4 linked regions of the Tamandua tetradactyla genome follow. The protein of the gene in region 4 purifies or fractionates together with the protein of the main gene of each other region. This does not show direct contact. Links are inferred from orthologs where the notes say so. Each region holds a gene or a part of one and is shown on either strand. Other genes may lie near its edges. The genes, in order: CYFIP2, NHSL3, EPS8L1 and ABI1.

Region 1 (7,224 bases), on a different chromosome or scaffold from region 4:
GTTTCTTGGTCAGAGACCAGTTCCCTTCATAAAGCAAAAATTCAGGAAAGCTCTGGTGGTAGAGGGTTGGTAAGCGCTATGGGTTAAACATATTTAAGCCAAATTCTTAATGATTATGTAATCAATATATTATAACAAAAATAGTACTGTATGCTAGACACTCTGCTTAGCATGCTTGCGAATCTCTCATTTAACAGGAGCATCCAATTAAGTGTCAGCTCCTTCTCCACCACAGCTGACCTCCCACATCACTGCCTAGAAGCCAGCAGCACCCGCCACCCTCTCCCACCACCTCCAGTACTGACACAGGGTCCATCTCTGGACCTGAGACATGGCTTTGCTTCTTGGAATGAAAAGACCAAAGGCCTTTCACAAAAACTCTAATGAGGTGACTGATGTCTGGTTTCATCAACTACCAAGTGAATAATTAATACGTGCCAGAAAAAAAAAAAAATAGACTCATTGTTATGGTGACCACATGGAGGTCACCATTTTGTGAAGTTCTTGGTGGAACCCCAAGGCCAAAAGTGGCCCAAATAAACCTCTTTGAGCATGCAGGCCAATCCTGAAACATGAAAACTAGAGCCCTGCTCTGTTTTCCAGGAGTGTGTCCCCAACGTTGATTAGCTTGTTGCCTTTTCACCACCTAATTCTACTTGCTGGTCAATGACAGCAGCAGAGGCCCACTGAACACCTGAGAGGACACGATATATCAGAGGGGACATGCAGTAATCTCCCTGGGCCCTTTTCTAGTTTTTATATTCATATCTATTTACTTCTCTGGGCCAGCCTCAGATCGAATCTGAGAAAAACTCTCCAACCCTAGTGGATTTTATACCCACTCTGGGAAGTCAGTAATCTTGGCCTAATGCCTAAAGCAAGCTTTTTTTCCTTTTCCATTTTCCAGCAGGGACTGAACAAGGCAGGCTTGGGTGCCTCCGGAACCAGTCAGAACTGGCCAGGAAACATAATAAAGAAGCTTAGTGAGCAGAGAGCTCCCGATCCCAGCCAGAGGCTCAGTGCACTGGCACTGAGTGAGCAGAGACACCAGCTTGGAAAGCAACAACATACTCTTCTGGTGGCTGGGAACTGCCCAGCATGTGGCAGCCAGTGCCGACCTGTAGTTCTCTATAGGAAGTTTCACCTCCCACAAGTGGACACTGGGTGCTCAACAGATGTCTCCTGGTGACAATGACTCTGACCAGACATGCATACACTCCTACATATTCCTGCCCTCAGGGCCAAAACTGCCCTTGCAAGTACACAGAGCTGAAAGCTGCTAGAGGCTGTCATTTCAGGGACAGCTGCCCCCCACCCCCCCCCACATTTCCAGCCTGCTGTCTGAAATTCCACCATTAGAGATGTCAATATTTTCACTTAGAGCTTCGTTTCCCATTAAAATGTCTCCACCCTTTGTTTCCTTTCTAGTCAAATGACTTCTCAAGCACCTGCTCTTAATCAAGTGAGGAAGTCTTTTGTATTTAAGCTCTTCAGAAGGAACAGGTTCACAAATTTTGACTTGGGAGAACTTTGACTTGGGAGAACCGGGGAAACACAGGGCATTTACGCAAGTGGGGGTGGGAGTCCATAGAGAAGGGGTCTGGTGGTGGAGAAGACTTCAAGGCCTTCACAATCTTGACCAAGAATATGGACCTAGATTTTCACCCTCCAAGATCTGAGGGCTCTGGGACCCAACTTGCAACGTGACCTGTGGTCAAGAGTATGCTGAGATCCGCTGCCTTACAGGGGATGCAGGCGGGAGGTGGCAGAGGGGAACGCGGGCGTCAACACTCTCCTGATTTGCCTCTCATGCCAGCAGGACTGCTCCAGCCTCCCTGCCCACCTGTGAAGGTGCAGACAGCCAGGAGCTGATAGGAAGGGGAGCTGACTGCCCATCAGCCTGAGTGAGTTTCCACCCTGCTGGGGAAAACAGGCAGGCAGAGGTCAAAGTCAGATTGCCTGGGCTGGGACTGGGCACCTGGGCACTCCCAGTGTTCTTCCCAGCCCCATCCTTCTCCTAGCTATTCTTCAGGCCCCGCTGGACCATACCGGCCCCCACCCCAAAACCACTGCACCCCCTTCTCCTCCTTTATAAATAGGCCGGCTTACCCACTGAGGGGAAGGGCTGTTCCTGACCAGAGGAAGCTACTAGGTAGTTAGACAGGTAGGCATCTTCCTGGTTCTTCAGAGCTCAGAAAACCCAACCTTTCTCCCAGGAGTCAGCCCCCTCATTGCATTCTCCCCACCTCCTCCCCCGCCCCCACGCGGCCGGGCGAGAGAGGATCCGGTAGGCCAGTAGGCTTCAAAGCGGGTCAGAAGGGTGGTGCCTCCTCTTCTCATGAAAGCGCCCCACTCCCAAACGTCTCCGCTTCGCCCCTCGCCCCACCCATCTCACATTCACCGCAGGGCGCTCGGTGCCCGAGGCAGCTACCAGGCGGGCCCAGGCTGGTCTCGCTGGCCCTGGGGGAGGTGACGGTGGCCCCGGCGGAGGCGGCCCGCGGCACCTGGGCGCAAGGATGTCGCCGCAGCGGTGCTGGCGGCCGCTGCAGGTGTCTCGGGTCCTCAGGTTTAGCGCCGCCTCCTCTCCCGCAGGCGGCTACGGCCCAGGCCGCGCACCTGCTGCTACTGGGGCCGCCGCGCCCGAGCTCCGCCGTGCGCCCGCGCGTCCTTGCAGAGGGCCGGCGCGTGCGGCCCAAGCTGGGCCGGAGAGCTAAGGGAGGCGCCCCGGGCCCGGGGCCCGGACTCCGGGGACTGCCGGGGAGCCCCCAGGCCGCTAACCCGGGCGCGGCGCCCAGTGCCCTCCACGGGCTGGGAGATAAGATGCCGGCTCTTCGCGCGTCCTCACGGCCGCATCCCGGTCACCATCAGCATCCCGACCCCGGATTGGGTCCCCAGGCCGGGGAATGGCGCTTACCTGGGTTTGCGGCAGGTCCAGGGCCAGGGCCCGAGGCTACGGCAGGGCCCCACGCCGGGGCGCAGGATGCTCTGCCGGGCTCCGCTCTGCTGGCGGCCCCGCTCGGCCCCGCCCCGGGCCCCGCCCCGCCGCCAGCCGCGCTCCGCCTCCCTCCCGGTGCCCGGCCCGGTTGCCACCGCGGCTGTCACACAAAGAGCAGGAAATGGCTGCGGCGAAGGGCTCTCGGTACCCCTAGCGTGCATCTCACGAGGACCAGTCGGGTTCCCAGGCCATCCTGCCGCCCTGCTGCCGGGGAGGAAAAGGGAGGGATGTTTTTACCCCATGTCCCCCATTTCCTGGGACCCACGCTACAGCAATGGGGGATCGCAAGCTCGGACCCGTTCGAATTTCATTATTCTCACATTATTCCCAAGTGCTCATTTATTTAACCAGCCTTCACTGAGCACCAATTTTGTTTCAAGCCCCGTGCCAGGAACTGGGTATGCACTGGTGTATAGAAGACAGGGTCCCTGCCCTCTTGGAGCTTATCTCTACCAGAAGAGATGGGCATAAATTACATCTGGGAGAAGGACTGGAAAGAAAAGGAATAGGGTGAAATGATAGAAAATAAACCTGGGAGTTGATGGGGAGGGCGGCAATCACACTAGTTGAGGCTAGTCCCTAATGCTGCTCCTTTGCTCCGGAATAATTTCCCCTACCCTCTTTCAGTCACTTTGGGCAGAATCCCTGAAATTGTTACCTCTTAAGCACCAGCGTGCCCCAGCTTCATCCAGTTAGAATTGGCTAGTGAACAAAAAGCAAAAATACGGTAACAGGAAACCTTCCTGGCAATGCCTGGGGGCCCAATAGCAACTGAGAGGATGTGTACCCACCCTTCTCTTTTAAATTTCTCTGGAAATTTATGGCTTTCCAAAGAAACAATTTTCATTGAGATGCAGCCTGGTGGACCTTCAGACCAGATTCAAGTCAGGCTGAGCCTTGCTTGTCCTAGCCTTGAGACTCCAGGCCAGTCAATTCACTGCTGTGTCACGAGATGCCCCTCCTCACTCACAGGTAAGTAATTTGAATGCATTTGAGACATTTTAAAGTGTATACAGATATAAGGGATAAAGTCTTGTTTCAAGGAGACCTTTCTTAAATGTTTGCCTAGGATTCACAAATTTATACTTTATCACTCTGCTATTCCTATTAAGGGATATTTATAGAGGAGCCACACTGTTCAAGGATCAGAAAAGACCTTATGTAAGTCTTTGCCCTTGCTGATTTTGCATAATTCCCAAGTGCACAGAATTCATAATCCTTGGTAATTTGATATTACGTTACTCATTCTGATTTAAATCCCTATTTCAGAAGGATGACATACACATACACACACACACACACACACACACACACACATTTCTGTCCCTGATGCCATGTGAGAAAGCTGTGGGGGAGTTTGTGGGGGATGATTTTAAGAACGGAAGTAAAGTTTCGTTTTTTTAAAAAAAATTGTTTTCAACCTTGATCCTTGGGATTTTTGAGTATCAGTAATTACCAGGACTTAACAATGAGAATCCTAATAAAATGGATTTCATTCTAAAAGACATATTATTTTGGATGTTTTCTTTTTCTGGAAGACATAGCTCACCCTGCTGTTCCTTCCTTGTCTTTTCACCAATCAGAATAAATTGCTTAAAAACAAAGAATATCATTGCATGCATACTTGGTTAGATCTTAGGCAACAATTATTCCCTGACCCATGAATTCTATATACGTATAAAGGAGAAGCCATATGGTTTGATTGAAACCATTTTGCTAGAAATGCAGAGATTTGTCTTTTGGTCCTAGTTTTGCAACTAATAGAAGAGTGACCTGTTTCTCCATCTATAAAATGCAGTGAGTTGGCTTTGCTACAAAGTTCCTACATGTGGAAAATTGCATGAGTTAAAAACAAAGGACAGATCCTTTCCTGGCTTAAAGCACGTCAGTAGTCCCCACTGTTCTCGGGATGAAGCCCAAACTCCTTGCCATGGTCTATCATGGACTTCATAATTTGGCCCCTGCCTTTCCAATCTTTTCTACTTGTGACATGCTCACTATGTTTCAGCTAAAAGAAATTTCTTCTAGTTTCCCCAACTTGGGGTGCACAGGTGGTTCAGTGGTAAAATGCTTGCCTTCCATACAGGAGACCTGGGTTCAATTCCCAGACCATGCACCTCACCCTCCCCCCAAGAAAGAAGAAGAGAAAAAAAATAAATACTAAGTCTCTTAGTTCCCACAATTTGCTGTATTTTCTCTTGTCTTTGGTCTTTGCCCGAGCTGAGCTTTTTGCTTAGAAAGCTCCTTTTCTCTCTCTTCTACAATTTTCCCCAGTTTGCCTATCTACTCCTCTTCATCTGTTGGTTATCCACAAAGATGTTACCTCCTCCAAGAAGCCACCTGTGATCCCTCCATGCCTTGGGTAGGTGTCTCTATCCTGGACTTCTCTATCATGACTTTTATTATGCTGTGTCACAATTGCTGATTTGCTTGCCTGCATCCATCATGAGACCATACAATCTAAGAGACAAGGGACTGGGTCTGCCTTGCTCCCCACTGTGTCCTCCAATCCTAGCACAGAGATTGGTAGATGATGGGAATGTAATCAAAATGGCCTACATGAATAATTGATAGAAGAAATGTTATTTTCCACTTTGTCAGTGAAATTTGTAGCTGTCTGTGTACTGCCTTCTTATTTCCTTCAAGTCCCACACTGATTTGCACCCTCAGCAATAAGAAAATTGCAGCTACCAAGTGAGAATTGCTCTGCCACTTGCAAAACTTTGGCTCATGCCTTGTGGTTCCATGTGAAGCAACATGGCCTTGGTTTTAGAAAAGGCTCACAGTACTTGGAACATCTAGGTTGTCTGCATTTAAAAACCATCAGCAGACCCTGCTTATTAGAAGCCAGCAGTGGCGTATCTGGAAAGGACATGGGAATTCGTTCTGGAGAGAGAAAATGTAAATAACAATTATGGCTAAGCTATACCAGTGCATTACCCCATTTGATTTTTCACAGTAGTCCCATGAGGAAAATATGATCATTAGTCCTATTTTATAACTGAGGAAACTAAGACAGGTTAAATAACTTGCCCCCTATAGTGAAACCAACACTGATGCTTTGACTGCTATTATAAGCATCCCCATGTCCCCTCTTCCAAACCAAATCCAGATATTTATCAACACTTTTCCCCAAAACATATTTAATGCAACTCATAAGGATGCATTAAATTAAAAGTTAAAAACAGCTAAAAAATTAATAGCAAAAAGAAAGAAGAGAAAAAATTCAAAAAGAGATGGAAAGAAAAATGTGAATAGTACAAAAATTATATGCCATGGTCTTGCTACAATAAGCTTACACATTTTTTGTTCTGTACATTCTTGTGGTTAGCAGGAAAAGAGAAACTCATGGTCAGTTACACAATTCACATTGCCCATTAGATAAAACCTGACCATTTGCTCAAAATTGCCTCATTTTACAGGTGAAAGAACTGAGGCCTAAAAGAGGATGTTATCCAAGGCAGGGCTGAACTCAGACCCCAGGTCCTTCCATGGGAAACCAAAGGGTTGCCTGCCACTGTCTTTGAATCTGAAATAATTTATTAAAGAATATATACATATATATATATATATATATTTTTTTTTTTTTTTTTTGCATGGCTGGGCACTGGGAATTGAACCCGGGTCTCCAGCATGGCAGGCAAGAATTCTGCCTGCTGAGCCACCATGGCCCACCCTAAAGCGTATATTTTAAACTAACATTTATTGAATGTTTATATGGGGCCAGTGTTTGTGCTAAGTACTTTATATGGATGGCCTCATTGCACTGCATTCTCACAAAATCCTAAGATTTTGTTATTTTATAGATGAAAAGCCGAGAACTGCATTGTGGCTGGAACATTGCAGTTCCCTCCTGGGCCCTTTGGAACTAACTGCATATCTTCCCTTTTCTTCCACCTTTTCCTCACTTTGGTCATTTCCTGCAACTTCTGCAGAACTGGCCTCTGTTGACGATCAGATCCTTTAGCACGTAATTGGATAACAAAGAACATTTTATCTTTATTTGAACAAATACTATTTACAATAAATTTGGGTAAGGACTGATAGTAAGGTCAGAGCATATTCTGAAAGGAGTTTGGAATGCTGGGTACAGCAAAGTTAAGGCACAAAAAGAATGTGCTGTCTTAAGAGGCTAGCATAAATGACTATAAAATCAGTCCACGGAACAGTTGAAGGGGACAAACAGGCCTGGGTTCAAGACTCCATTCTGCCACTTACGGAGGGTGGGT
Region 2 (7,639 bases), on a different chromosome or scaffold from region 4:
AGGGACAGACCAGGGCAGCAGAGTTGTTCTGTCAGCCTCAGGGCCCACTCCTCTTCCTGCAGGGTCCTTGGAGCTCAGGTGATTAAACTTATAAACACAACAACAGCAACCCCTGCATTTCTGTGGTGGCTCCAATTTATAAAATTTTCATATCCTCTCTTGTGAGCATCTTAGAGAGATAGAGAGGTCACAGATCCATCCAGGCAATGTCTAGCCAGAGGGTCACCCCTGAGAAAAGGTACCCTCTCTTCCCCATGAGACAGTAACAGAATCAGTAAGCCCAAAGGGAGGAGATGACTAGCCCAATGTCACAGGGCTTGCTAGCAGCTGAACCGATATTTAAACTCCCATTTGCCTGACTCCAATACTCTTCTTCTCTATCAAGTTCCCACAACACTCTGGGCCTTCTCCCATCTATAGAATGGGTTGGATGAGAACCAACTTTTAAGCCCTCTGTTCCATGTCTGCAGGAAAATAAAAACAATACTAATTTTATGACCAAGTACTGGTCATAAGAGCATACCAGTTCGGGAATCGAACTGGTTTAAATCCCAGTTTGGGAAAGTCAATCCACTTACTCACCTCGAACCTCAACTGTTTTACTCGTAATTGGGATCAAATGAGATAATGGATACAGGATGCCTGACATTCAGAATAATCAATAAACGTCAAATTTCCTCTTTTTTCCTAAGTATGTGCAGGGTGGTGAAGGGAGCAGAGGAGTCTTGAAAGACAAGAACTGGGGAACTGTATTCCAAGCTAAGCTTTGCCGTCTTTGGAGTGGAGGAGTCAGCTAGGGGCATCTAGAACTAACTGCATAGCCCTTGGATTTTTGGTTCAGAACTTGAGGTGAGGGAGATAATGAGCTCCCCCCAAAAAGGCCCCTGACCTTCCAAGAATTTTCTGTCTATACTCCCCTCCTTCTCCCCAGTCTCCATTCTGGACATTCTCCCCAGAAAGAGTTAAGCCTTCTTTGGGCTTCCCCTCCCTGGCCAGCAGTGCCAACGGAGATTAGAGAGATCAGATTTATTTCTCTTAATAAACAGAGAAGTTGGGCTGGGCAGGTGACAAGGAAACAATTGGAATAATAGGAGGCTGGAGCAGAATGGAGCATGACTTCCTCCAGTTGTACCTGAGCCATCCCTAGACCCAGGGAAACAACAGCTAGGGGCAGGGAGGTGTTGTTCACACACGTGGGCTCAAATCAGGCTGACCTGCTGCCTGGAAAGCCCAGTGCCACCTGATACCAGGCATCAGGGTGGAGGGAGACCTGGCCATTGACCCAGTGAACCCAACCCAGGCTGTTGGAGTAGGTACTTTCAGGATCAGCTTTTCCAGCTCCTGCCTCCAGGCTGATCTGCCAGGGAAAAAGGGTCTACTGCCCTGGAGTATACCACTAGACTTCTGCCTGCCAATCCTGACAGTCTGACCATAATCCAACTTGCTGCAATTCCAACCCATTACCTCTTGAGTGAGATGGAGGTATCTTCAGACGGAACACTAGTGAGGCAGCCCCGGGACAGATTTCATGTCTGAGAAGTGCAGAGCCCTTGGCCCCACTGAGAGCCAGACACCCCAGCCCCAGCACCCTGACTTCTATTTGTGGCTGGGCTGCAAGGGAGCAGGGACCTTATCCAAAAGGAAGAAGGGGCCAGATGCAATCACACAAGAGACTCTTTCACCCACTTCCTGATCCCTAAAGTGTTCCTTCTAATTCTCCTTCAGAGGACACTGAGAGGGTGAACACAGGCGGATGGGATGGGCCCGCACACTACACCATTTCCTCACCTCCAGCACTGCAGCAGAAGGGTAGATAGGTAGGTTTCTGGGGACACCAAGCCCCAAGGGTGCCTCACCCTTTTGCTGAGCCTCAGGCCCTCCTCCCTCCCAACCTAAACAGGAGATGGGGACTGACGGTGAATAAGGGAGAAACCAAGCTAGTGGTCAAAAGAAAAGTGACCCCATCAGGGAAGAGCCAGACTGGCCTCCCCTGCCCTCAGGCTGCCCAACCATCAGGCCAGAGGCTGTCAGAGAAAAAAAAACACAACACCGAATTCCTCCAAGTCCCTACTCCAGCCCGGGTTCAGCCTCTCCATTTAATTTGGGCCTCAGTTTCCCCATATGCAACTATACTTCCGACAGTGACATTTTTGTGAATTCTACCGGTGGGGCGAGGAGTGGTGGGGAAGGGCACTTGGTTCCTGTCAGTGAGCTCACCACCTCAGGAGGTGGATGTTTGCAGTCTGGCCCAGGTGAGTGGGAAGGGGGCCAGGTGGGAAAAAACTAACACTGTTAAGGACCTAGTGCAGGGTGCTTTCCTTTCTGGGGCTGGAAACCCACACCCACCTAGAGGACTGAAACCCCTTTTGAGTGCAGTTGATCTTCCAGACCCAGAGGGACCCACACGAGACCTAGAGAGATCCAGGGCCACCTGCCTCTCCTACTGGCCCCAGGCCAGAGTCAAGTCTCTGACCCCCTGACTCAGCAGAGAGCAGGACCTGAGTGCGCCTGGGGGAGGGGGGAATTGCCTCACTGCCTCACCAGCCAGACTGCCAGCACTTCCTGCTGAAACTAGGAATCCCTGCCCACCCGGGGGTCCCCTGCCCTCAGAGTGGAGCAGAGGAGCTGTGTCTGGGACGTTCCGGCCCCTCTCGGCTCCTCGCTCCTCCAGCACCAGCGCCTTGGGAGTCTCCCCGGCCTCCAACACGCCCGGGACCCCCGGCGGAACCACCGCGGCCGCACCCTCAGCACCGCCCAGCGCCCAGCCCAGGTGCCCGCCGCCTTACCTCGGCCTTTGCCCTTGGCCCTCTTGGCCTTGTCGTCCGCCTTCTTGGCCCGGGGGGCGGCGGATTCGGCGCCCTCGGCCCCTGCTGCCTTCTTCTTGCGCCGCTTGCCCCGCAACCAGCTGAAGGCGCGGCGGAGGCTGGACGCGCCCGAGCGGGACTTCTTCCTGCGCGGGGGGCCCCCGGGCTCCTCGGCCGCAGGTGCGGCGAGGGGCGCGCGGGTGGCCATGGCGCTGGACGCGGACCTGGAGGCGGGGGTCAGGCCCCCTGCGGCGCGGCGCCCATGCGGCGGGGGCTGGCGGACGAGCGGCCGCCGCGGGGGAGACGCGCCGGGAGAAAAGTTTGGGCGGCGGAGGCAGAGCGAGCGAGGACGGTGCGGGCGGCGGGAGCGGCAGCGCGGGAGGGGCCGGCCCGGCGGCGGGCGGGGCGCGGAGGCCGGCCGGGAGGGAAGGAGCCAGAGGAGGGAGCGGCCGCGGGGCGGGAGCTGCGCTGCCTCCGGCCGCTCCCCGCCTCCTCCGGCTCGGGTCCCGGGCTGGGGCTGGGCTGGGGGAGGGCGAGGTCTGGTGCTGAGACGCCGCGGTCGTGCGGGCTGCCCGCGGCCCGGAGGGCGGTGGAGCGGGGCGGGTCCGGGAGGGGGCGGCACTGGTGGTGCCAGAGGGGACACAATACGGGGTTCGGCCCGGAAGAGGGCGGCACTGGTGGGGAGGCTCGGGGGAGAGCAAGAGAAATTCTGGGGGGTGAGCCCCAGGAGACCTAGGTGTCCCGAGTTTGATCAGGTAAGAGAAGGAGGGATTCATGAATTCTTTTCCTGGAATAAAGGAATTCTGAGAATTCTTTCCCGGACCCGGACAGTATTGGGGCATTTGCCCTAGAGACTGTGGCTTCCCAGACCCGCCCAAGCTCTGTGATCGACAGCTGGCACTCCCCTCCCACCCGGCCACTGATAATTACCTCTTCGCTCCTTTTCCCTCCTCCTCACACCTTGCTTCAGGATCCAAGAATCTTTGGTGTGGAGGCGAGGGCCAGGCCGCCTGGGCTACCGGTTCATCCTTTGGTGCCTGGGATGGGGAGAGTCGTGCCTCCGTTTCCTCCTGGGTTAGGCTGGGAGGCCCTGAGGCTCCCCTGCCGGGCTCCGGGTTTCTACTGAGCTGTTCAACACTGAATCCGGCGGATCCTGGGGCCTGAGGAACTAACAGTTTCTAAGGTGTTTTTGAGACCCTCTGCAGGTGAGAAGGGTGACTGAGGACGTGAAACCTTTAGAAATCCTGAGAATTCTGCACTCTCCCTCCTGGCTTCTGGCTCATTTTTGTAGCTGACTGAGCACTTTTACATTATCCGATCCCACAGCAAGCCTGTGAGGGAAGCAAGGCAAGAAGTGTTACCCCCACCGAACAGAAGGGACACTGAGGCTGGGAGGTGGCAATGATTGTCCAGGAGCACAGAGGTAGTCAGCAGAGGAGCCAAGGCCAGCATCTGGGTCTTCTCTCTGCCTGGTGGGAGGCGCCAAGCCCTACGGGCCAGCTGTGGGCTCAGCATCCCTGGACCCCCTTCTCTGGATCCCCAGAAGCTGGAGTTTGTCAGCATCACCCAACCTGACCCTGGTGACCCAGCTCACTCCTGATCTTCGTCTCTTTAAGGGTGTCTGGGGCGCCACAGCCCAGTGAGCCCCAGCACACCATGGACAACACTCACTGTAGTATTGCAGGAAAATTGGGGTACACAGTGTGACCTCTCCACAGGCCCCCAGGGGCTCAGCTGTGGCTAGCCCGAGCCCTCACTGACAACCCCCATCTGGGGGACCTGGGGCAGATCACCGTACTTACAGGACCTCAGTTTCCCTTCTAATCGGCCTTTCATTCAGATCCCTTGCCCAGGGATCACACTGGCCTTAGCTTTTGGTACAAGACCGAGGCCAAGCCCAACACTATCCTGCAGGTCCTCGCCTCTCCTATTGCTAGTGATGAGTGTCAAAGGTAGGGCTGAGACATAGAGGGTGATGCGTGCAGCCTTGGCCTGCTGGATAAAGTCTGGATCCACTGGGGACGGAGGGGCCAGGAAGGAAGACAAACATATTCTGGCTCTTGGAAGGGGTGGAGGGAGATGAATGTTGGCCAATCTTGCCCCCCCACCCCAAACCCTCTCAGCACCTCTTTCTTCCCAGTGGCCAGAACTGGCTACGTAATTTATGGAGTCCAATACAAAGAAAATTCAGGGCCCCTTGTCCAAAAATTCTTTAAAAATTCAAGAGGACAACAGCAGAGCGTTAACCTAAGTATGGGGAATAAATCCTTAAATTGGGTCCCCTGATTTGGAGAAGGGGAAAGAGAGGAAGGAAGTGGGAAGAGGTCACTGCTCCCAACTCTGATACATTCTTACCTGCCATCCCCAGTTTGGGCCACCTTCAGACCAGCAACCTTAGCTGCTTCCTCTTTTCCCCTGGCCTAATGGACCAGTTAGGCTACCGAGGTACATTGGGTGTGCATCCCACCTCCCTCCCCCCACTGCAGCTGGAATCCTGCCTGGATTAATGATTGCTCAGCTCGGCTGCATTCTATGCCGGCCCTACAGGCAGCTGAGGGATCCGTCTTCTCAGCTGCCCCTGTCGGCCAGGCCCAAAGTCCAACCCGACCAGACAGCTGACCAGGCAGGGAGCTGCCAGGCTGTCCCCAGGGAGGAACCACTGACAACCAGGCTTAGGGCAGGGGACCCCCGGCGTCCAGCTTTGTTCCTCTGTTCTTAGAAATTTCACAGTCACCCCGATGTTGTTCTCACACCCACCCCATCTCCCATGGGCCCCAGTCTTGCCCCCTCCCAGGCCTGGCCTCCTCCCCCACAGACTCCCCACTTCCAGCCTGGACAGGCTGGGACAAGGTGTGGTTGAGCCTCCTTCATTTCACAGGGAAGACCAAGAGGGGAGACCAGCTGAGGGTGGGAGCACCTCAGTTCTTAGACCAATTGGAGGGCCAAGAACTGTGATGGAGGGAGGGGTAGTCCTGCAAAACTGGGCCTGTTGTGAACTTAATAGTATTCCCATTCCACAGACAGAAAAGCTGCAGGGGAGGTGGGATGACTTGCCCAGTCACAAGGCTACCTGTGGGCAGAACCAGAGTTTAAAACTGATTTGTGTTCACGTGTCTGTTTGTGTGTATGCATTTCCTAATCGAGCACTGACTTTGTGCTAGGCAATGCCTTCCCCCCCACCCCACCTGCTTCCCAAGGGCTGGCACCTTAAGACCCTGAAGCAGGGAGGACTTATCCAAGGGCCACAGCCAGGCTTCCAAGAACCTCTCAAAGTCGTCTGCTTAACTTTGAATGCACATGCCTATGAACAGCCCCATGATTTTAAGGAGATTCTCAAAGGGGTTTCTGTTCCAGAACAGGCTAAAAATCTATCTTCTGGTCCTCTGGGGATTCAGGGCCTTTTCAGTGGGAGGAGAAGGTAGGAAGGGGCTCCTTGCACCCAATCCCCTCCTCCTCTCTCCTCCCTAACCCTCCACAGGGTACCTCCAGAAGGAACGGGGGCAGAAGGAATGAGTTTTGGTGGCAGGCAGCATTCCTGCCTCCCCTTATCTGTGGCTCCTGGCAGATGGAGCAGCCATGTTCACATTTCAGACAACTTCCCCGCTGAGGTCATCTTTGATCCTCCCAGCATCTTTTCAAATCAGGCCCCAGCCTAATTCCACCCATTTTCCCTGCTGGAGTGAGAGGTAAAATAACTGACCCGAGGTAATGCCAGATAGGTTGTTAGTGGAGTTTTCTGGGTTATTTGCTCATCTGTTCCAGCTCCTAGAAAGAGAGGCAAGGGAGGAGGGAGAAGAGGTGAGGGAGGAGGGAGAAGAGATGAGGGAGGAGGGAGAAGAGGTGAGGGAGGAGGGAGGAGTAGCTTTGGCTGCTACCCAGTCTCCAATGTCGAAAAAGTTTATTTTCCTTCATCCTTTTAACAAACATATCCTGAGCACCAGCTCTGCGCTCCAGGCTTCCTGAGGATGACTATATATATATATAAATTTTTTTAAAATCAGATTGTTATTCTCTGTGCTGTACAGTGTATAAAAGTGGTTTTCCAAACTTTTTTCTTTTCATTGTGTCATGTTTTGGATTTTTTTCTCCAAACATAGACCATCCTGGAACTCTGATAGATAAAGCTGATAAAAGCAGTATTTTATACATATAAATTTATTTTACAAATCAAAAGTTAGAGCCAGATAACTTAAAATCAGTGGGAACATTTTGATAAACTAAAAAATTAAAACAGTGAGCCATAGGTGATGGTTACGGTATTAATTGAGCTCCAGCATCCAATTTATTTCTGCAGTTTATTTTGGTTGTTCAGTAGTTAGAAAATACTGAGTCTTATACACAAGCCGGAGCAAATGCCAAGAGTTTTAACAACTTGGAAGCAATGTCAGAAGCTTTATTCTGAGGTCTGAACAGAAATGAGCTATCCAGCCAGCCCATATTAATTACTTGTTGAAAGTTAGCAAAGAGCCCAACTACTTTAAAAAATGTTTCCATATATATAGGGATATGTATATATAAAAATATGTAATATTTGTGTATATATAAAAGTAGGTATATCCATATCTATTTTTTCAAATGAAATTTGGATGAATTGATTGTTGAATCTTGGAGAAAAGCACTTCGCACTCAAAGAAAGGAAGCTTTCCCAAGGAGTTTCCCAAGAACCAGACCTGGTTCTCCTCTCAGTCCTGCCACTGATTTGCTGCGTGACCTTAGGGAAGACACTTGCTCATTCTGGGCCCATGTTTCCCCATCTAAACATCCAACTTTACCTAGGAAAGGAGTGTGTGTGTGTGTATAGGTACCTATGCATGTGTGTATGAGTGTGTTGGAGT
Region 3 (7,960 bases), on a different chromosome or scaffold from region 4:
AGGCAAGGCAAAGGAAACCCATTTTGTAGATGAGAAAACTGAGTGTTCCATTCCTTCTACTTAGTGGACCAACTGCTTTTAACGCCTCCATCTCCAAGGCCCACCTCTCCCCCAGCAAGACTCCTTGTGGCAGCACAGATGGCAGACTCACGTTAACGGGGTACTGGGATACGTCAGCCATAACCACAGTGGAGTAACGCTTCCTTTGCTCTGCGGGAGGAGAAGGTGGATAGACCTGGGGTCCAGGCTCCCCTCCCTCAGACCCGGGGTCCAGGCCCCCAGCCCCTCCTCCCTCAGACCCGGGGTCCAGGCCCCCAGCCCCTCCTCCCTCAGACCCAGGGGTCCACGCCCCAGCCCCTCCTCCCCCAGCTCCGGGGGTCCAGGCTCCCAGCCCCTCCTCCCTCAGACCCGGGGTCCAGGCCTCCAGCCCCTCCTCCCTCGGACCCGGGGTCCAGGCTCCCAGCCCCTCCTCCCTCGGACCCGGGGTCCAGGCTCCCAGCCCCTCCTCCCTCGGACCCGGGGTCCAGGCTCCCAGCCCCTCCTCCCTCGGACCCGGGGTCCAGGCCTCCAGCCCCTCCTCCCTCAGACCCGGGGTCCAGGCCTCCAGCCCCTCCTCCCTCGGACCCGGGGTCCAGGCTCCCAGCCCCTCCTCCCTCAGACCCGGGGTCCAGGCCTCCAGCCCCTCCTCCCTCGGACCCGGGGTCCAGGCTCCCAGCCCCTCCTCCCTCGGACCCGGGGTCCAGGCCTCCAGCCCCTCCTCCCTCGGACCCGGGGTCCAGGCCTCCAGCCCCTCCTCCCTCGGACCCGGGGTCCAGGCTCCCAGCCCCTCCTCCCTCGGACCCGGGGTCCAGGCTCCCAGCCCCTCCTCCCTCGGACCCGGGGTCCAGGCCTCCAGCCCCTCCTCCCTCAGACCCGGGGTCCAGGCTCCCAGCCCCTCCTCCCTCAGACCCGGGGTCCAGGCCCCCAGCCCCTCCTCCCTCGGACCCGGGGTCCAGGCTCCCAGCCCCTCCTCCCTCGGACCCGGGGGTGCAGGGCTTCAGCAACCCCAGCCTAAGGTTTCTTGGGCCCACACTCACCATAGATAGACTTGGCACTTGGTTTGGGGGCAGCTTCTGGACTGGGAAGGAAAAGAGGGCTGAGAGTGAGTGTGAGAATTAGGGGCAGGTGATGTGAGGTGTCGAATGCTAAGCAGGGACTTTATCATGAGGCAATGGGGAGCCATAGAAGGATTGAACTGGAGAGGGCCAAGAAAACAGATGAGTCAGTGGTAGTGTGTGGTGGGGAGCAGGATGGTCTCTACTCTCCAGCAGACCAGAGTTCGAATCTCCCGTCTGCTGCTCCCTTGCCATGAGAATGTCTCGTGCCTCAGTTTCCCTCTCTGGAAAATGGGGTTACGCATAGCATCCACCTGGTGGGGCTGTTGGGAAAATTCACTGAGACGATGCGGGTGAGAGCTCTGCAGCCCAGTAACTGTCACTGTCATCACGAAGACGGTTGGACGGGTCTAAGTACACACAAGTCGCTCAACACGCGGCAGGTGTTTCGGTAGAGTTAACATTTGAGCAGGAGAGTCACCGCTTCCCCTCCTCCCGCATGGACCAGGTCCTCCCCAGTCAAACCCTTCTGTCTCCTCCCCTCAGCCTTCCCTTTAAGGTCACTTTCTCCTGGAAGAATTCCCAGATCCCTGTTTCCAAAGGAAATAGCAGAAGCCCAGAGCACAGGTGGGGTTGGGGCTGAGGGGGGCCAGAAGCCCTGGTAACTGCCCCTCATTGTGCAGGGCTGGTCTCCCTGGGCTGGTGAACTCCCACCCCACCCCCACCATGCAGCTATCCCTGCGGCTCTCGTTGCCTTCTCCCTGCTCCCTCTGGGAGGCTTGTAGCTTAGGACACACAGCCCAGATGTCCTAGCACAGGGCCATCGCTGTCCATAATAAAATAACCTCCACAGCAGGGACGGCGGCTTGTGTCGTGGTGCACATTGTCCCGTCAGCTTCTCACGACAGCCAGGCTGAGCGTGCGAGCTCAGCTGATTCCTGGGCTGCGTCCTCCGGAGCCGGAGCTGCCAACCCCAGGCCGGGGCAGGGGGAAGGCCACTCGGCTTCCTCCTCAGTGTGTGGAGCTGGGCTGGGCCTGACCCTGGGCTCCTGCAAACACTGCAAACACCGTGGGCAGGTGCAGGGGCTGCTGGGGGACGCAGGAGGGGGGACACTTACCGGGCGGTGGTGCTCATGGTGCCGAGAAGGTGGCTCCTGCCCACCTGGAGATGCCCTGGGGGCCAGTGGGGGTGTGAGGGCCTGGCCTACAGGCCCCCGTGACCCCAAACCCCAGCCCTCCTAAACTCAGGGTTCCAGGCCCCCAGCCCCTCCTCCCTTACACCCAGTGCCAGGGCCCCCAGGTCTTCCGGGACCCCCACATTCCATTCCCTAACCTCTGTGTATCCCACTTTCCCTCCTCTATGCAGGGATCTCGTCTTCCGACTCTAGCTGCTTGAGAGCCTGGGAGTCGGGCCAGAGCTCACCCTCCCTGAGAACCAAGGGTGTTGGACCCCAAGTCTCCTCGAAGAACCATTCATCCAATTTCTCAGCCCCTCAGGACCCTATCTGTATTCTTCCCTCAGCTAGTGGGAGCTCCCGTTCCAGCCCTTACCTCCACCGGACTCAGGAGCCTGGGCTCCCCCGGACCCTGCTGTCTTAGTTCCCAGGAGCCCAGATGCTGGAATATCACCCCCCCAAGACCTGGGGGTCCAGGCCTCCAGCCCCTTCTCCTTCAGACCCAGGGGTCCCCCAACCCTTCCTCCCTCAGATCTGGGGGTCCAGGCACCCAGCCCCTCCTCTCTCAGACCCAGGGGTCCCCCAGCCCCTCCTTCCTCCGATCCTGGGGTCCCCCAGCCCCTCCTCCCTCAGACCCAGGCTCGGGGTACCCCTTTCTCACCTGCCAGCCAGCTCTGTCAGAGGAAAGGTCCTGCTCTCCTCTCCCTTCCAGCCGTGGCCCCTCCTTCCGGTTCCCTCCCAGGCTGTCCCGCCCCCCGCATACCTGAGCGCTCACCTGGCACAGCCCGGGAGGGGTTGCCTCCGGGTGGGGCTGGCAGAGAGGCCAGGAGGGGGCTGGGCTGCCTCGGGGGAGCCGGAGACTTAATTGTCTCATTGTGGCAGTAACACAGTAATAACAACAGCAGTCACTTGCTGCCGTTCTTGTTCACCTGTGGGAGTGGGAAACTGCCTCAACCTCCCCTCAGATCCTCTTCGCCTTTTGCAGGGCTGGCGGGGGTGGGTGGGGGGGAAGGTTTGCGCAGGGTTGATTTGCCAATGAGGAAGCCGAAACCCAGGGAGCATAAGCCGTGTGCTCATGGTCACAGAGAAGGTGGGCTGTGAAACGGGCCTGGGTGTCCGTCCCTGCTCTGCCTCTGGGGACACCTCCTGTCCTTGGGCACTCCGGGGTCCTGATGTCCTCTTCCCCTCCCTTCCTCCAGGAAGGTCCCGCCGCGATCCCCTGTTGTGGTTGCAGCTGAGACTCAGCTTGGAAAGTGCCCTGGCGCAGTTCCAAGTGTCACAGAAATGAACAGACTTCTTGGGTATCAACACCTTTATAAAATCTCTCACCAAGGACATCTTCTGTGCCGCAGTACCCCGGGCACAAGGACGAGAGTGCCCGACTCCAAGTCTCAGACCTTAGATCCACGGCAGGGGACGCGGGTCGCACCACCATTACCGCTCCTGGGGCCCTCGCAGGAGCCCCCTAACTGGTCTCCCCACTTCTGTCCTTCCCCCCTTCGGCCTAGTCTCAGCCCAGGGGCTCTGTAGAAACCGAAGTTGGCTCTGCTCATGACCTTCCAGTGGGCTCCCCATTTCTCTTTGGAGTCTTACAAGGCCTTAATAAGGACGTGGCCTCCTCTAACCTCACTCCCTCTGCTCCAGCAAAGGGGCCCCACTGTTCCTTGAGCACCCAGCCCCCCCCACCTCAGGGCCTTTGCACGTGCTGTGCCCCTGCTGGAATGCCCTTCCGGCAGAAGGCTTCATACCCTCAGGGCTTCGCTTGAATGGCACCTTCTCAGCGGGCCCAGTTGACCACCCTCATTTAAATGGCAGCACCTCTTATCCCCCCTATTCTGACACACCTTGTGGTCCCTTCCTGGCTCCCCTACTTTATTTTTCTCCAGGGAACTCATGACCTTCTAACACCTGTTTATTTTGTTCATTTTATGTCTTCCCCTCCTGCAGGTGAGCTTCACGAGAGCAGAGACTTTTGTATGTTTGGTCCCCCACAGTGTCCGCAGCATATAGAACCACCTACGGCACACAGCAGGTGCGGAAATCTTTGTTGAATGAATGACTGCTTCGCATGGGGTGTGTTCTTGTGCATTCTTGCCTCACTACTTCCTTCAACTCGGATTGATTCCACAGCTATGCAGAATGAGGCTGGACCGGAGAAGGCTCGTCCTTGCCCTGGACTTGCCGGGATTAAAGAAAGAGAGAGAGACACAGGATATTGCGATGGCAGAGGTGGTCCAGAAGAGGCTGCTGGGAGGGTCGGGCAGGCTTTCTGGAGGTGTGGGTTCATTCCCGGCTTGACCAGTTACTGATGCAATTCTCAGGGTGTGCTCAGATCCTCTTCTGAGCAGGTTACGTGGGGTGTCCTCACAACATCCTGCGATGCGTGGGTTACCCGGTTTCACAGATGAGGAAACAGAGGCACATGCTAAGCGGCCCTGATGGCTGAACCTAGGCGTTCCAATGCACAGCCTGGATCCCCTCTGTTCTTTTTTCATGTTCCTGCCCCTTTATGGCTGTGTGACATTGGACAAATTACTCAGGCTCTCTGTGCTGCAATTATCTAACTCTGCAGTGGGGGTGACCATACTGAGCAGTTTAAATGGAGTCACGGAGGGCTCAGTGCAGAGTGACAGCAGGACAGCCAGCCACCACGATGACAGGGGCCGTCTTTCCACATGTGCCGCATGAGTAAGTCCGGGCAGGCTCCCTGGAGGAGGTGGGGGCGGAGCTAAGACCTGAAGGACGAGTTTGGCAGCCCAAGTTGGCCAAGTCCAGTGGGGAGGGGAGAGCAGCGGCCAGAGCACAGGTGGCCCCTGCGCCGGGGGAGGGGAGGGGGGTGTTGGGCTTTTTGGTTTTGACTTCCGCTTGCTCCTGTCCCTCTGTGCCCTTGTTCCATTCGTGCCGCGAATATTTTCTGAGCCCAACCCAGCGTGGGTTGGGATCTGAGGGAAAAGGCCACATGTGCTAGTTAACCTGTGTGAGGTGGGTGGGTCTGGAGGAGGGGGCGCTGGGGGCTTGGCCCCCCGGGTCTGGGGGAAGAGGGGCAGGACCCAGCTCTAGCACAGGGGGCCGTGCAGGCCGCCCACCCCACCCTCCCGCACCGGCTCGGAGTCCCAAGCTGCTGCCCAGACCGAAACCTGGGCCTCCGCCCTGGTTCCCGGGCCCTGGCCTCCTGCCTCCTTCCTTCTCTGGCTGCAGAGGAGGCCCCGCCCTCACTGCAGATCCGAGCCAGTGCTCCCCAGACACCAGGGGAGGAGGCACCACCCCTGCAAGCTGACGCAGCAAGTCCTGGGCGGAGGAGAGGTACCGGGAAGAGCCTCCTAGGAGCCCTTTTTGACCGCAGCCTGCCCTGTGGGTTTGGAGAGCCTTCTGCTCGGCGCCTGCCTCCGTGCCCAAGCTCCATGCCCAAAATGCGGTATATGTGTTGTCCTGGATCTGGGCAATTTTTCCTCTGGGCTGAGAGGTCTTAGGAACCAAGTAGAACTTTTCTCTGGGACCTGAGCAGCTCAGACTTCTGTCTGTGTCATATCTGAAGCATCCCCGTGTCTTGCATCCATACACCCCCTCCCCTCCCACCCCCAGCCCAAACTCTCCTAGATTGTAGGATTTGCTGATGGACTCCTGGAGATCAAATTCACTGGCAAGAGAGCAAGCTATGGCAGGTTGTGTGTGTGTTCAGGGGTGGGGTGGGGAAGGGGTGGTTATAAGATGGGGGCTGAGCCTCAGAGAGATACATTTCCTTACAGCTAATTAACTACTAATTTATACATTCAGTAAATAGTTGTGGAGACCTAATTTGTGTCACACCCTCTGTGCCGGAATGCACAGTCGCAATTCACTGTGATATGTCCATGAATAGGGGTGGCCCAGGAGCTTTGTGTGTGCCCAGGGAAGGCTCTTAATCCAGTTTCGCGAGTGTGTGTGAGTCAAAGAAGCCTTCCTCGGTTCAGCGTTAACTGGTGGGGTTTTGAAGGATGAACAGGAGTTTGCCAAGGACAAAGAGGCAAGACATTGCACTCTAAGCTTGGTAGTGGCTTCTACAGTGGCAAATCCTTATTAAGCTCCTACTGTATGCCAAGCATGTGCTGGCGGAGGAGATGGACAAAGCCCCTGACCTTGGAATGCCTTCCACTGAGGGGGTAGCAGAAGACAAGTACATGAAGTATCATGTACTTTTCAGATCAAGGAGAGAAATGCAGCAGAGGTGAAGAGCTGGAGTGACTGAGGGCAGGCAGGGGTGGCTGCTCCAGGTGGGGTTGTCAGGAAAGGCCTCTCTGAGCCTTGACCTGAATTTCGAGAATGAGCTGGCAGAGCAGCAAGGGTTTCAGGCTGATGGGATACCTCCTGGAGGCTGGTGGGTGGCATCTGCGGGGGGTGTGGCTGGAGGCTTAACTGCAACCATGACAAAGACAAAACTCCAGCTCAGATGGGTTTGCCCCCCGCCTGCCTGTCTGGCTGGGGGCACAGATGGCCCTAAATGTAGTATTTTTCTTTGGGAGTTCCTGCGGGACTGGACACCCCTAGAGACGGGGCGGGGAGAGGCATGTGGGACTCCTGGGAGGCCGAGTCTAAAACCGGCTTGGCCAGGGTAGGAGGGTGGCGGGTGGCCGGAGCTGTTTGTCCTTAGGGCGGGAACAAGGGCAGGGCAGGCTGGCAGCCCCTTCCTGAAACTGGAGGCGCCTGACTCCGAGGCCGGGGGGCTGGGCCAAGGCGGCGGTGAAGGGGACAGGGCTCCGGGCACGCTCGAGTTTGGATCCTGGGTAGTAGACATAGATCCTTCGTGGTCCTAGCAGGAGACTTTACTCCCTGAGCCCTCTGGATCTCTTCTCTAAAATGGGCATTTTCCCAGAGGCTGCCTGAAGCGCGGGAGGGAGGATTTGGCGTGAGAAAACACGAGAAGTGCTCAGAAGAGGGCCTGGCATAGTGACGAGGAATTACTAGACAAAGGAATGAACACGTAGCTACATAGCCGAGGCGGCGTGAGAAGAGATGGCTCTGAGGACGGACAGCTGTGGGCTCCAGCGCAGCTGAAAGCCCGTCTCTGAGCCTCGGTTTCCCCAGCCCTGAAATTCAGATGACCATTCATTCAAGACATCTATTCATTCAGTCAGTAAATATTTATTCAGTGTCTGTTCTGTGCCAGGAACTGTTCTAGGTACCAGCAGCCAGAAGTGAACAAAGTAGCCCAGAATCTGCCCTCTGGGAGTTTGCATTCTGGCAGAGGACACAGAGGATACTACAAATAAAATAAAAATTAAACCATTGGCTATGTAAAATGTCGGATGGATAAAAATAAAGAGGGTCAAGACAGTTCTTTTGGGTTTTGTTTAAAGTTTAGATATCACCTAGAAGGTGATTTTTGGTTGAAGAGCTGAAGGAGGCGAGGAAGGAAATGATGGGGTTATCTGGGGAAGGATTTGCAGAGTTTATGTGGGGGGATGGCCAGTGCAGATGTCCTGGGGGTGAGAGCACGCCCGGTGTGTGCACCTGCCGGGTCAGAGCGGCTGGAGCCGAATGGGCAGGGGTAGGTGAGGTCCCAGAGGTAACGGGAAGATCTGAGGGCCAACCCAAGAACTGGAGAGATTTGGGGAGCTAATGAGTGTTTTGCTCAACGTCTGAGAAATTTCAGACTCACAGAAAAGTTGCAGGAAGAATAGAAGAAATTCCCATATACTCTGATTCCCCAAAGAT
Region 4 (7,160 bases):
CTAAGAGTCACCCACAGAGAACCTCTTTTGTTGCTCATATGTGGCCACTTTCTCTACCCCAGCTCTTCAGGTGAGCTCACTGTCCTCCTCCCTACATGGGACATGACTCCCAGGGGTGTCAATCTCCCTGGCAACATGGGACATGATTCCAGGGGATGAGCCTGGCCCTGGTACCATTGGAGTGAGAAAGCCTTCCTTACCAAAAGTGGGAAGAGAAATGAAAGAAAATAAAGTTTCAGTGGCTGAGAGATTTGAAACAGAGTCAAAGGATCATTCTGGAGGTTATTCTTATGTTTTATATAGATACCCCTTTTCAGTTATTGGTGTATTGGGGTAACTAGAGGGAAATGTCTGAAATTGCTGAACTGTAATCCAGTAGCTTTGATGCTTGAAGGTGATTGTATAACTACATACCTTTTGTGGTGTGACCATGTGATTGTGAAAACCTGGTGACTGACTCTCCCTTTATTCAGTGTGTAGATAGATGAGTAAGAAAATAAATACAATAAATAAATAAACAGTAGGTGGAGTGGGAGGGTATGGGATGTTTTGGGTGTTCTTTTTCACTTTTATTTTTATTCTTTTTATTGTTTTTGGAGTAATGAAAATGTTCAAAAACTGATGGTGATGATGAATACACAAATGATACTGGGTACCATTGATTGTATATTTTGTATATTTATTTTATTTGAATATGTAATACATTCACATGATTGAATATTCAAAAGGCTCAACAAGTAGGCTTTGAAAGGATTTTATCTCACATCGGATCTCCAGCCTCCCAGAGGCAACAGATGTTATCACTTTCTTATAGGCCTTCTAGAGATTATATGTACAAACAGTTTTTTTACTTAAATAGATCACATACTGTTCTGCCTCCTTGTTTTTTTTTTATTTCTTTAACCACACATTCCTGAGATCGCTGCATATCATATATTAAAATGTCCTCATTGTTCTGGGGGTGTGAAGGTAGTTCAGTGGTAGAATTCTTGCCTGCCATGCCGGAGACCTGGGTCCAATTCCCAGCCCATGCACTTCCCAAACAAAGCAATCAACAAAAATATGGTATGATTATATGGTATGTGAATATATCTCAATAAAACTGCATTTAAATATATATATGTATGGAGGAGCACTAGGTTCCTCCATATTTTCAGGATCTGTTTTTAAACTTTTTAATCTTTTTTTTAAATCTGTTTATCTATTCATGTCATCACTAAATATTTTTTTTTTTTTTTTTTTTTTTTTTTTTTTTTAAAGGAAAGACAGAGAGAAGGAAGGATAGAAGGCAGGAAGGGAGGAAGAAAGGGAAACATCTTTTAAACATTTTCTTGTTTTATTGTATTTTGTTTCTCCGTTTTTGTTACATGGGCTGGGGCCGGGAATCGAACCGAGGTCCTCTGGCATAGCAGGCAAGCACTTTGCCCGCTGAGCCACCGCGGCCCGCCCATCACTAAATATTTTTAATTATAATAGCTTTTAAATATATTTTCATAACTAAAAGAACTAGTTTCCCTCATGTAAAGAAAACTTGTCATTGCAGTTTGTGGAAATAGTTAAAGATTGAAAACAATGTCTTTCTATAATTATGATACATCCACTTACAAGAATACCAGAAAGAACAATGAGGAAATTTTTTTTTTTGTATGCTGTACGGCAGGGTTTTATTTCATTCTTTTCCCATGTGAGTATCCCGTTATTGCAGCACCATTTGTTGAACTTTTATTTTTGTTGATTGCTTTGTTTGGGAAGTGCATGGGCTGGGAATTGGACCCAGGTCTCCGGCATGGCAGGCAAGAATTCTACCACTGAACTACCTTCACACCCCCAGAACAATGAGGACATTTTAATATATGATATGCAGCGATCTCAGGAATGTGTGGTTAAAGAAATAAAAAAAAAAACAAGGAGGCAGAACAGTATGTGATCTATTTAAGTAAAAAAACTGTTTGTACATATAATCTCTAGAAGGCCTATAAGAAAGTGATAAAATCTGTTGCCTCTGGGAGGCTGGAGATCCGATGTGAGATAAAATCCTTTCAAAGCCTACTTGTTGAGCCTTTTGAATATTCAGTCATGTGAATGTATTACATATTCAAATAAATAAATAAAATTAGGGAAAATTCAGGAGGTCAAAATTTACCCCTGTTTGCTCAAAACTCTTATACAATTCGCTAGGACTTAATTCCTTTCGATCTTGACCTTCCAAGAGCTGCTTTTATGTGAGCATCTACATAGACTTGATAGAGTGTGGTCCAGGTGTTTCACAAACTTTTTTGACTTTGTTGCAGAGTACGAAATATGTTTTCTTATACATTTATTATTTAAAACAAAAACTTCCATTGATTATTACCTTACTGTTGTGTTATGCCCGCTAATATTTTCTTGCCTCTTTTACTTTTTATAATCCTGGTCATGATGCATTATATCGATTTCTTGATCATAGGTATAGAGATTCATTTTGGAAAACACTAGTATATACTATAATTGAATATTTAGAAACATTTTTTACATTATTTCTCACTGATTTCTTTACTCAAATGAGAAAACATATGATACTGGTCAGTTTCAGAATAGCTAAGTCTAAAATTCTTCTGCATCATGTGTAGAAGATTGGAATAAGATACCTATACTGGTAATTTGCCACAAAGAAACAGGCATACATCTAGAAGCAAAGTGCAGTAAACAATGATCTATTCTTTTAAGGGAAAGTAAACAGACAAGGACTGAATCCCATCAACTGAAGTGGACTTTCTGAATTGTTTTGGCAGTGGAAGGTCTTCAGTGGACATTTTATTTAACTTGTCAAAGAATACTCCTGTACATAAAGGAGTTTATAATGCGCCTGATTTAAAAAAGGCTTGGGTTCAATTGTCATTTAAACTAGTGAGATGTTAAGCAGGGAGGCAAGTCCAGGGTACCTATCACTTCAGCAGAAATTTCAGTAAGTCGTAATTACATACATCCCTTCCCCTCAATTGCATTGGTGGGAATTTATGGAAGAGAACCTCTAAGGAAGGTTGAGAAATGTAGTTTACCTGGACGGTCTAGTGGCCAGTAGGAAGGAGAGAACAGATTTGTGAGGGCAAACAAGTTTTCATCACAAAAGCTTACATGCATTGTGTTACTTTGAAAATGTGCTGAATCCTTTACGGTATTTTTGTTACCTCCTTTATTACTTTGAAGGCATAGGTTCTAGCAAGATTATGTAATTTACTTAGGGCCACACAGCTGGTGGATGGCTGAGGTTAGATTTAAAATAAACAAGGGGAGGGACTTCCAGAATGGTGGAGAAGCGACCTCAAAAACTTGCTGATAAAAGCAATAAACAACAAAAATTGCCAAAATCAACTTTTTCACAACTCTGAAAACCACAAGCTTGCAACAATCTGAGGAGCACTTATTCAAGAAAAATAGCTGAAACTCAGTAAGAACAGCAAGTTTTGTGGCGTTTTCATTTGTTTTTCTTCCCTCTCTCCCTCTAGCTCCACAGCAGCCTCTTGAAAACCGACAGCATCACAATCACGACAGCTGTGAAAAGCCAGCAGCTTAGCAGCCACTTGGAGAGGAAAGACAGGTTTTGGAGTGCCTCCAAAAGCCCAATCATTTATCTGGCTGGAGCTCCCTGGAAAAGCCCCATTCTCAGTATTTTTCTTTATCCGACTAGACTGAAAGCTCACTCAGAGCAACAGAATTTAGGAAACTTATCAAAACCAATCAGAAGCAATTGCTTATCGCAGCGTCATCTTTAAGAAGATAAAGATGTGGGGTTTTCCATATTCTATTCCTTTTTAATCCTAATCAGAATCCTTGTTCCAAATTCACTGACGTCCTAATTAGGAAAGTTTCACAGCCTGCCCTGGGAAACGGTTTTATTCTCCAGAATCACCCTGTGGCGCCATCTCCCGGAGCGATAGCAACCTCCGGCCCTAAATCCCCCGCCGCAGGTCAACGTCCTTGATTGACGCCCCACTCCTTCCTTCCCGGAGGTGCCCTGGGCGCATGCGCTTCCGTCGCGACGCCCGTATCTCAGATACTACAATTCCCAGAAGGCGGTGCAGAAGAAGAAATACCAAATCCCGCGGCCTGCGCTCGCTGAACGATCGCGAGAGCAGGAGGTCCGGGAGGCTGCGCGGAGCGAGTGGCGGGGGTGGAGAGGGCGAGGAGGAAGAGGAGGCGGCGCTGTCCCACAATACCAGGCGGGAGGGCGGGCAGGCCGTCGGTATCCGGGCTGCGAGGGGCGCCGAGCTCCGCCGACCGTGCTGCCGCTGTCTCTTTAACGCGAGAGGAAGCGATGCGGAGGGGTGGAAAATGGCAGAGCTGCAGATGTTACTAGACGAGGAGATCCCGTCTGGCAAGAGGGCGCTGATAGAGAGTTACCAGAACCTGACGCGGGTGGCTGACTACTGTGAGAACAACTACATACAGGTGAGGCGCGCGCGGGCGGGCGCTGGTCGGGCCGAGGACCCCGCCGGCCGCGAGTGACCAGCCCCCTGGGCTGAGTGGGAGCTGCCCGACCTCAGCCGTGGCCCCCAGCCCCAGCCCCAGCCCGGCCGCAGCCCCAACCCCGGGCTTAACCTCGGCTCCAGCCTCAGCCGCAGTTCCTACCCCGGTCCCTACCGCAACCGGTCTCCAGCCCCAACCCCGTGTCTGGCTCCAACCTCAGCCCCAACCTCAACCCCAACCCCAGGTTAACCTCGGCTCCAGCCCCAACCTCAGCCCCAGCCCGGCCCCAATCCCAGCCCCAGCCCCAGCCCCAACCCCAACCCCAGCCCCAACCCCAGCCCCAGCCGCAGCCCCAGCCCCAGCCCCAGCCCTAGCCCCAGCCCTAACCCCAATCCCAGCACCGGTCCCATTCCCGGCCCCAACTGCAACCGGTTTCCAGCCCCAGGTCCAACCCCAACCCCAACCCCAACCCCAACCCCAACGCCAATCCCAATCCCAACCCTGGCTCCAGCCCGAATCCAGCTCTAACCCTGGCCCCGGCCCCATTCCCAACCCAGACCCCAACCCCAACTCTGGTCCCAACCTTAGCTCTAACCCCGACTCCAGCCCCAGCCTCAACCCCAGCTCTAATCCAGCCACATCCCCAACCCCAGTTGCAACACCAATCCTGGCCCTAGCTCTAACCCCAGGCCATCGCCCCGGCCCCGGCCCCAACCCTGCCCCTGCCTAGCCCCGCCGGGGAGAGCAAGTGTCGGGGCTGAGGGAGTCGGGCCGCGATACAGGAAGTGGCTGCGGCGGTTGAAACCCAGGAAGGGGAGGGAGAGCAGGGCGCGGGCGTCCCGGGCGGCCGCCTCCGGCGGGCTCGGCCCCTCGGCTCTGCGCGGGGACCGGGTCTGGACGGCGAGGCGGGGGAGCGCGGGGCCGCGCGGGGGAGGAGCGGCGGGGCGTGGGTCGGCAGACCCGGGTGGGGGCGATTATGCAGTTCAACCCAGAGGGTGTGTCTTTTATTTATTTAATTTTTAAAAAATTTGTCATGAGTCACATCACACAGACCTCCCGAGGAGTGGAGGGAGGGGGTGGGGAGTGAGGGAGGACGTTAGAGAGAAGTAAATCTTGAAATTCCTTTAAGTGATGGTTTGCTTTGCCTGCCTGTCCGTTTTCAGGTCTGGTTTGCCCTTCTCATCATTTTCACTTCCGCCCTACCTTGAGTATTTTAGAGATTGTTAGGGCTGTCATTGTGATAAAACATGGATTATTCTTAACTGCTTTGGGGAAAGGTCTTAAATACTCTCCCCAAAAGTTCTCAGGCTGACTTCATGAGTAACTTAAAATAGAATGGTCTAATTGCCGATTGCTCTCTTTTCTGAGGTTGCTCTCTTTTCAGCTTATGTCAGTGTATACAGTATGACTCCAAATAGATTACCCACTACATTTGTTTAGCTTTTGAACCACAACATAAATGATCAATTCTTGAAAATTTATTAGAAAATCCTTGGAACCTTATCTATGACAGATAGTTTTTGTTTGTTGTTGCTGTAACGATTGGAAGCGAATTATGTGTGTGGTAGTTAGGTTTGTAGATCTTTGGGTAGACCGACAGTTTGCAATAGGAGCAAGTCAAGTAGCAGAGCAGTCCTTTGTATCAGTATATTGGCACCAGAAACTCACTTGTTTTTGGTTAAGGCGTTGACCAAAACTCTGTAAGGTTAGAGTTTTTGCAGTTCAGAACTATAGTATTTTTAGATGTGTCTCCCATGTGGTTATCATTTTTAAGAACCAATGTTTCTGTGTTGGCAAATATTTTTCTTCTTTATTTTTAGAGGGAGATACTGTTTTAGAATATTTTGAATATTTGACAATTTCCATATTAGTAACATTGTATCTGCAGTAGTATTGCTAGGAATTTATCTTCATAAAACTTTTCAACCCTTACTTTAGTAATTCTAAGTAAACTTGTTGCATGTTTGTCCACCTACTGTATTACTTGTTTGTGCGAACTTTATATTTAGCCTTAAACATTTTAAAATCTAGTAATGTGGATATAATTAGCAAATAGAAAGGTGATTTTTGTCACTTATCGATATTAAAAACATGCAACTTTTATTCAACTTAATATTAAAAGCGTTAAAATTCAGGTGAACCTTAATTTACTGAAAATTTTAAAGGTTTTGAAAAACAAAGAGCACAGAAAATGAAATTATCCCCATCCCAGACAACTGTAGAAGCAGTGAAAGTAGTAGATAAGTAAGTACAGAAGGGGAGGCTCCTTTTGTTTTGCATGTTGGGAAATCAGACAAGTATATGATGTGGTAACTGCTGCTGCATGTTGGCAACTGTTAGTAGCTGAAGACGTGTGTTAACCTGTCTGCTGACTTTCTTTTTCAGATGCTTGTATGCTGTAAGGCTTTTTTCTCCTCTTTCCTCTCTGTCTCTCTCTCTCTCCTGACCTCTTTCCTTTTCCCCTCCTGCCACCATCATATAACTTTGAAGCACTTGTAAACTTCCTTGGAAATATCCCTAAATTAGATAAATCATGTTATTTTTCATCTCTCATTCTTTAAAATATTGGTACCATGGTACCAAGAGCCTCTGTTAGAGGCCTCTAGTTTTTTTTTTTTTGGTGGCTCTAAACTGGACACTAGTGAGATATCCTGATTTTACTGGAAAGCAACAACCAAAAAACAACCAAACCAGATGAAATTCACATAGCAATG

The links.
Region 1: the proteins of ABI1 (region 4) and CYFIP2 purify together in Homo sapiens (co-immunoprecipitation; 4 studies listed by BioGRID and IntAct, with this or other methods). This does not show direct contact. The link is inferred for Tamandua tetradactyla from reciprocal best matches to the Homo sapiens genes ABI1 and CYFIP2.
Region 2: the proteins of ABI1 (region 4) and NHSL3 purify together in Homo sapiens (affinity purification with mass spectrometry; 3 studies listed by BioGRID and IntAct, with this or other methods). This does not show direct contact. The link is inferred for Tamandua tetradactyla from reciprocal best matches to the Homo sapiens genes ABI1 and NHSL3.
Region 3: the proteins of ABI1 (region 4) and EPS8L1 purify together in Homo sapiens (co-immunoprecipitation; 4 studies listed by BioGRID and IntAct, with this or other methods). This does not show direct contact. The link is inferred for Tamandua tetradactyla from reciprocal best matches to the Homo sapiens genes ABI1 and EPS8L1.

The regions. Positions count from the first base shown.
Region 1 is NC_135346.1:38,357,031-38,364,254, reverse strand, and holds the start of CYFIP2 (cytoplasmic FMR1-interacting protein 2), read right to left. Parts: upstream 3,003-7,224; 5' UTR 2,915-3,002; intron 1-2,914. UniProt on the Homo sapiens protein: Involved in T-cell adhesion and p53/TP53-dependent induction of apoptosis. Does not bind RNA. As component of the WAVE1 complex, required for BDNF-NTRK2 endocytic trafficking and signaling from early endosomes.
Region 2 is NC_135328.1:193,159,954-193,167,592, forward strand, and holds the start of NHSL3 (NHS-like protein 3), read right to left. Parts: upstream 3,013-7,639; coding exon 2,787-3,012; intron 122-2,786; exon of another isoform or gene 1-121. UniProt on the Homo sapiens protein: Able to directly activate the TNF-NFkappaB signaling pathway.
Region 3 is NC_135342.1:4,599,807-4,607,766, forward strand, and holds the start of EPS8L1 (epidermal growth factor receptor kinase substrate 8-like protein 1), read right to left. Parts: upstream 3,018-7,960; 5' UTR 2,931-3,017; intron 2,268-2,930; 5' UTR 2,230-2,267; coding exon 2,213-2,229; intron 1,118-2,212; coding exon 1,077-1,117; intron 211-1,076; coding exon 152-210; intron 1-151. UniProt on the Homo sapiens protein: Stimulates guanine exchange activity of SOS1. May play a role in membrane ruffling and remodeling of the actin cytoskeleton.
Region 4 is NC_135327.1:223,997,342-224,004,501, forward strand, and holds the start of ABI1 (abl interactor 1), read left to right. Parts: upstream 1-4,152; 5' UTR 4,153-4,311; coding exon 4,312-4,428; intron 4,429-7,160. UniProt on the Homo sapiens protein: May act in negative regulation of cell growth and transformation by interacting with nonreceptor tyrosine kinases ABL1 and/or ABL2. May play a role in regulation of EGF-induced Erk pathway activation. Involved in cytoskeletal reorganization and EGFR signaling.